Mus musculus: one gene and its partner. The protein of the gene in region 2 binds, or shares a complex with, the protein of the main gene of each other region. Links are inferred from orthologs where the notes say so. Each region holds a gene or a part of one and is shown on either strand. Other genes may lie near its edges.

What was found.
Region 1: Mybbp1a (region 2) and Dek share a complex: the UniProt entries of both Homo sapiens proteins name them as parts of the B-WICH complex. The link is inferred for Mus musculus from reciprocal best matches to the Homo sapiens genes MYBBP1A and DEK.

Annotation. Positions count from the first base shown.
Region 1 is NC_000079.6:47,099,581-47,103,233, forward strand, and holds part of Dek (protein DEK), read right to left. Parts: intron 2,495-3,653; coding exon 2,393-2,494; intron 2,153-2,392; coding exon 2,043-2,152; intron 689-2,042; coding exon 594-688; intron 1-593. UniProt on the Homo sapiens protein: Involved in chromatin organization.
Region 2 is NC_000077.6:72,447,740-72,451,392, forward strand, and holds part of Mybbp1a (myb-binding protein 1A), read left to right. Parts: coding exon 1-143; intron 144-216; coding exon 217-387; intron 388-477; coding exon 478-638; intron 639-992; coding exon 993-1,224; intron 1,225-1,303; coding exon 1,304-1,435; intron 1,436-1,521; coding exon 1,522-1,590; intron 1,591-1,980; coding exon 1,981-2,094; intron 2,095-2,253; coding exon 2,254-2,355; intron 2,356-2,886; coding exon 2,887-3,035; intron 3,036-3,137; coding exon 3,138-3,653. UniProt on the Homo sapiens protein: May activate or repress transcription via interactions with sequence specific DNA-binding proteins. Repression may be mediated at least in part by histone deacetylase activity (HDAC activity).

The DNA.
Region 1 (3,653 bases), on a different chromosome or scaffold from region 2:
ATTGTTCTGTAGCTTTAATCAACCCGACCACAGTATACAACCATTAGAAAATGAAGAATATTTACCAACAGTCTAAATAAACGCACTAGAAAATTATATGTTTCTAATACTACATTCATGGGTTTGAAAACTGTTTGGGTTAGTGATTCAGCATTACAATATTTCATTTTTATTATTTAAATTCTTATCTATGGCATTTAATAAAACGTTCTAAGAGTCTGTCACCTTGCTAGCACATATGGAAAATTTCTCATCGGGTTACTTTCAAAGCAAGTTTAAAACATTAAGAAACAAACAGTAATTGCAGGAAACGGAAATATATTTCACTATTTCCTTCGGACCTTATCAAGTCTGAACTCTGAGTGAGTACTTGTATCTTCTAGGAAATGAAGATTTAAAGGCTCTCAATAATTATAACAGTCAATATTTACCAGAACAGAAAAAACAACCCCCAAGCTAATGCCAAGAAAAACCTGTCAAACCCTGACAGCGAAATTAGTTAGCAATCTACTAGAAAATGAGCAGGTCCTCATCTTAATAAATGTAAGCTTACAGCGCATTAGTCAAACACAGTAGTTACAAAAGTAACTTACTTTTTCAACATTTCTTCCTTCTTTTTATACTGGGTACTGCCTTTTTCGAATGGAAAGCCACTGAACTGACCCACGTTCTTCTTCAACGAGGACACCTGAAAATGTTTATTGTTAATGCTACTATCCAGTAATGTATAAGAAAAAAAGTCAAAGACAGAGTCTTCATTTTCAGATCCATCTTCCAAGTTAAAATATTGATTTAGTCAACAAAAGTGTATTTACTACTAACATGTTAATATTACGAAAATCCTACAAACTGAATTTTTTGAACAGTCTGAATCTGAATGTATTTTCACCTAGGAATATTTACCATAATTGTTCTTAAGGTAAACGTAGAAAGTTACTAGTCAATGACTATTTTTTTGAAAAGTAAAGTAAGTATTCTAAAAAGTGAATGCCGTTTACTAGTTATGAAACAAGTGTAAATTAGATTGTTGTGCAGACTGAGGTTAGTGTGAGTGAAAATAAACTAGACCATGCTTCAGACATCCTCTCTCTACCTTTTTTATACACATACAACCCAAAGCACATTTTTTTTTCAAACATAATTATATGGCCTGGCAAGATGGCTGCCTGTTCTTCCAACACCTACATGGTGGCTGACTCAGCACATCTGTAACACCAGCCCAAGGGGTCTAATACTGTCGCAGGCACACAATGAGCAGACAGATATATATGCGTGCAAAACACCCACAGAGATGAACAACCCCTTTCATTTCAAATACAGTTACATGTAGTAGGATATAATAACTATAATTTGGCAAAAATTTGCCACTTTCTTTTATGGGTATTTGGTTAAAATAAGATATAATTACAAGGAACAATGCCAGAACATTGAAAAACAAATTAATTCTAATATCATTAAAAGTCACTACAGAGCCGGGTGTGGTGGCCAAGCCTTTGATCCCAGCACTTGGGAGGCAGAGGCAGGTGGATTTCTGAGTTTAAGGCCAGCCTGGTCTACAAAGTTAGTTCCAGGACAGCCAGGGTTATACAGAGAAACCCTGTCTCAAAAAAAACAAATCAAACCAAACCAAACCAAACCAAACCAAACCAAAAGTCACTACAGACTGTATATATAATTTAGATTTTTCAGTTTGGAGCAAATTTCATTTCCTTTTTTGTTTTGGTGGTAGTGCTGTTGGAGACTCAGCTCAGGGCCTTGGGTATTACAGAGCAATCTATCTCTGAACTATTCCTCTAGACCCAGTTAGGAGGAAAAGCAAAAGAGCCATAGACATTACCAGCTATGTTTACCATGGTATGTCCTTACCATGTACCCCATGGCCTTAACAAATGTGTGTCTCAAATTTACTCACTAGTATAGTATAGAAATTGAACTAGCTAATCATTAAAGTCTTACAGAATGAAAATTACAGCTCTAAGGTGAAGCATCTTAATATATTAAGGATCAAAAAACATTGTAGAGATGTTTATCAAATGTCTTACTGTGCCCGGCCTGTTGTAAAGCAGTTTGTGTAGATTTCTAAGTTCATCTGGTTTTTTCTTACTCAGAAAGAAATGTATCCTTTCAATTTCACAAAGTTTCTGACCCTTCCCTGAAAAGCAAAATATCACAATTAAATACCCAGGCCTTAATAACATCTACAAAGTTAATTTAATGAAAATTACCCCCACCACATAATTTGGATAACTTTGTGCTAACAGGGAAAATTAAAATTATGCCAAAAATATATCCTACTTCCTAAACACTAAGTAGACTGCTAGTATCAAGTATTTGTTGGCTAGTCACTTTTGCCTAATTGAGCATTTTTCCCATAAAAGCAATATGCACTCACCTTGTGTCACTGTAAATGGCTCTCTCTGTAAGGAAGACACTTGCATCGTCAGTCTCTCTACTTTCTTCTTCTCTCTCTTGCCTTCCACGATAAGACTCTTTTCTAGAAATTAATAATTCTTACATATCAAAAAGCTAAAATAATGCCAACTTTATAAACAGGTTAGGAAGATCTCTTGAACTCAGCACTTTACTTCCTCCTGAGCTAGTTTTGAGAAGTGAATGAAACACCGTGAAAGCTTTTATTTTTTTAAGAGTAACATTTTACTCGTTTGTGGAACACCTAATCTAAAATATCAGAAATTTCCATCTAATTACAATTATCACTATTAAGATTAGTCATTTGACTTGTGAAAAAAAATCATCTAGTTTCTCATTTATTTCTTTCTCATACATAAAAGAATTAATCTATATGTATATAAACTGTAATAAGATAATTAGTATTTCAAACTCATTTTATTTTGTCCTGAGTCTCTGAACAATTCTAAATGTTCATACAAACATGTAATAAGTTATTTAAGCTAAGCAGTCATCCTACTGTGCTATAAACACTGGAGCATGCTTCTACTGTATTTTGGTACCTGTTTTAAGATAGCTGGCTAAACATTACTTTGTAGTTTGATAACAATGTTCATAATGTCCGTAAGTCAGTCTGAGAAAGTTAAGTACCCTTTAATCCAGTCTTCTAAGAAAACCCCAGGAAATATGTGGTATATAAAGCTTAAAACATTGTTATATTTAAATAACCACTTACTTCTTGGTTGAAATCTAGTCAAATACAAAATTTATTTTGTGGAGGTCCTCTCATTCATTCAAATGAATACCTACTGTGTCCAAATTGTACCAAATACTCATTGTTTTGAAAATTCAACTAGGAAAATAAAAACCATACATAGTGTAAAATATCTTTAAGAAAGATATATATAAGGGATAAGGATATAGCTCAATGATAAACGTCTGAAATGTTCAAGTCCCTAGATTCAATCCTCAGTTTTGAAGAGAAAAAGATAATAGATATAAAATGTGTGAGACTGGCTGGCTAGACTCCTGAGCATGTAAGGTGCTTGCTGTCCAGTCTGGTGATCTAAGTCCAATACCCTGGGGTCTAAGCCCAGAATGAATATGGTGGAAAAGAAATGACTCCAAGATCTCTTCTGACCTCCATATGCACCACTCCTAGCCACACACAAGACACAGAATGCTTTGTGAGGGACTGGAGACATGGCTCGGTGGTTAAGAGCACTTACTGCTCTTTCAGAGGA
Region 2 (3,653 bases):
CAGATAATGAGGACAATAAGAACTCAGAGAGTGACATGGACAGTGAGGATGGGGAAGAAAGTGAAGAGGAGGACCGTGACAAAGATGTGGACCCAGGCTTCCGTCAACAGTTGATGGAAGTGTTAAAAGCTGGGAATGCATTGGTGAGCAGGACCCAGGGGAGAGGGGGTTTGTCCAGCCATTTAAGGGTCGGCTGATGGCTCTGCTGTGTCTCAGGGTGGAGTGGACAACGAGGAGGAGGAGGAGCTTGGGGATGAGGCCATGATGGCCCTGGACCAGAACCTGGCCAGCCTATTTAAAGAGCAGAAGATGCGCATCCAGGCCCGGAATGAGGAGAAAAACAAGCTACAGAAGGAGAAGAAGCTCCGACGGGACTTCCAAATCAGGGTGAGTGTACTGGTAGTTGCCATGCACCCTGAGCTGTTCCTGCCTCTCCCATGTTTCTGCATGAGCTGACTCTTAGCCTTTTGGCCACAGGCACTAGACCTGATCGAGGTGCTGGTGACCAAGCAGCCTGAGCACCCCCTGATCCTGGAACTACTTGAGCCACTGCTGAACGTGATCCAGCACAGCATGCGCAGCAAAGGCTCCACCAAGCAGGAGCAGGACCTCCTGCACAAGACCGCCCGCATCTTCATGTGAGTGCACACGAGTTACCCACCCCTGGGTTCTCACGCTTGCGGCTTCCTGTGCATAGAGGAGAGGTCCCATCCCAGCCATCACTGTTAGAATAGTTGGGGATTCCGACAAGCCCACTCTGTTCCTGTCTCTGAGGACATAGAACTTCATCTTACTTTACAGAGGCCAGAAGCCACTGTCCCACAAGACAGATACACGTAGGAGAGGAGGGACACTTTAGAGGCATCAAGTTTCTGTCCATCTCTAAGCTGGTTTCCTAACTTAGCAACGTGACTTGGGGCTGCTCTTTGCTGTACTTGACAGAGCAAAGTAGAGAGACACCTTTTGACCAACTTTGCCTTTCCTGCCCATAGGCACCACCTGTGTCGTGCCCGCCGCTACTGCCACGAGGTGGGGCCGTGTGCAGAGGCTCTGCATGCCCAGGTGGAGAGGCTTGTGCAGCAGGCTGGCAGCCAGGCTGATGCCTCTGTCGCCCTATACTATTTCAATGCCTCTCTGTACCTGCTGCGAGTCCTCAAGGGCAACACCAATAAGAGGCACCAAGATGGTCATAAGTTACACGGAGCTGACACAGAGGACTCAGAGGTGAGCCAGGGTCAGCCCTGCTCAAGACTCTCCCTCAGCCTTCTCCCTGCTCCCAGTCTCACCCCAGCTCTCTCACCAGGACCAGGCTGCTAACTGCTTAGACTTGGACTTTGTGACCCGGGTGTATTCAGCATCACTGGAATCTCTTCTGACCAAGCGTAACAGCTCACTTACGGTCCCCATGTTCCTCAGCCTCTTCTCCAGATACCCAGTAAGTATGGGAGCCAGCCTGTCTGTTGGGAACTCTACCCAGCCCAGTCCCCAGCTAATGGCCTCTTGTCCTTCCCCAATCCCTAGGTGATCTGTAAGAACCTGCTTCCCGTCCTGGCTCAGCATGTGGCTGGCCCATCTCGGCCCCGCCATCAGGTAAGGGGCTGTCAGAAACACCTGGACAGTCTTCTCACTTGAGAGGCCTGCGTCACTGACCTTGGCTGTGCTCGTGCTGTAACTCGTGATTGGCACAGAGGAACTGGAGGAACCTTGCTCTCTGGCCTGCATAAGAGGGCTTCCCTTGTCGGCTTAGATGCCAGGGCTATCAGACAGGCTAGAGGGAGATCAACATGAGGTCGATCTTGCTTCTATCCAGTTGGGACCACTGCCTCTCCAGGCCTCGGCAACCCTTTTCCCACATAAGAAGAGAGAAATTGATGATTGTAAGGCCTAGCACATGCAGCCTTCTCTAAGTTTCTGTGAGTTCCTGAGTCTTGACCTGACATACTGGGGTTCCTACTGACTATTACATTCGCCTTGATGCAGGCCCAGGCATGCCTGATGCTCCAGAAGACTCTGTCTGCACGAGAGCTGAGAGTCTGTTTTGAGGATCCTGAGTGGGAGCAGCTGATTACCCAACTCTTGGGAAAGGCCACCCAGGTAATAGCTGTGAAGCCCCCACCCATGAACTTGTCCCAGGTTTCTGGTAACCAGATTGCTTGGAACACATTTCCTCCTCCTGGGCCACTGTTAGGTGTGGGATGTAGAAAGGCCTTGGGCTGTTCTCAGGGGTGTCTCAGTGTTGGCCTTCCTCTGTAGACCCTGCAGACTCTTGGGGAGGCACAGAGCAAGGGGGAGCACCAGAAGGAGCTATCCATCTTGGAGCTGCTGAACACTCTGTTGAGGACAGTCAATCACGAGGTAAGGCAGCTGCCCGGTAATCAGTGCCCAGGTGGAATGGGCAGCAGTTCTGACAGTAGTCCTCCCGGGGGTGGGGGGATCTCCAGAGGAGTGTGGCCTGGGAGCCACATGAAGGTTCCAAGGGGAGGATTCTGGCCTTTTAAAAGATTAAATGCTACTGGACCTGGTAGATTGGGAGGGAGGCTGTGTTACTGTGTGCCAGAAAGAAAACTGAGATGTTAGTAATCAGTGAGAGGGGCTAGAGATGAGGCTCAGAATAGAGGGGCAAGAGTTACTCATGAGCCATCAGGATAGAGGGCCAGAAGACCACTGGAGATGGGCAGGTGGCTGAAGAACTACAAAAGCAGAGACCCAGGACCCTGGCTATGGAATGGGAGTCAGTGCCAGTGGTCCTTGCTTCCTCCACAACCAAGGGACTAGTGATGTAAGGACAGAAATGGTTAAGGGACTCAGGAGCCACTGGGAAGACCCAAATGCTGGCGAGAGGCCATGTCACCACCACTGCTACTCCAGCCTGCCTTTCCTCTGCAGAAGCTGTCTGTGGACCTCACTGCTCCCTTGGGCGTGCTTCAGAGCAAGCAACAGAAGCTGCAGCAAAGCCTGCAGCAGGGGAATCACTCATCTGGCTCCAATCGCCTCTATGATCTCTACTGGCAGGCCATGAGGATGCTAGGAGTCCAGTATGTTCTGGGAGAGGGACCAGCATTGGGCATGTGGCTAAAAGGACTCTCCCTCCAACCAATACTGCACACACACACACTGTTCTGTATCCTTCCTTACAGACGTCCAAAGTCAGAAAAGAAGAATGCCAAGGATATTCCTAGTGACACCCAGAGCCCCGTCAGCACAAAGCGGAAGAAAAAGGGATTCTTGCCAGAGACCAAGAAGCGAAAGAAACTTAAATCTGAGGGCACCACACCAGAAAAGAATGCTGCGTCACAGCAGGATGCAGTGACAGAGGGTGCCATGCCTGCTGCCACTGGTAAAGACCAGCCCCCCAGCACAGGCAAGAAGAAAAGGAAGAGGGTAAAGGCCAGCACCCCATCCCAGGTGAATGGGATAACTGGGGCCAAGAGTCCAGCTCCCAGTAACCCCACCCTAAGCCCCAGCACCCCTGCCAAGACCCCAAAACTGCAGAAGAAAAAAGAGAAGCTGTCACAGGTGAATGGAGCCACTCCTGTGTCCCCCATAGAGCCTGAAAGCAAAAAGCATCATCAGGAGGCACTCAGCACAAAGGAGGTCATAAGAAAGTCCCCCCACCCCCAGTCTGCCCTGCCAAAGAAAAGAGCAAGGCTGTC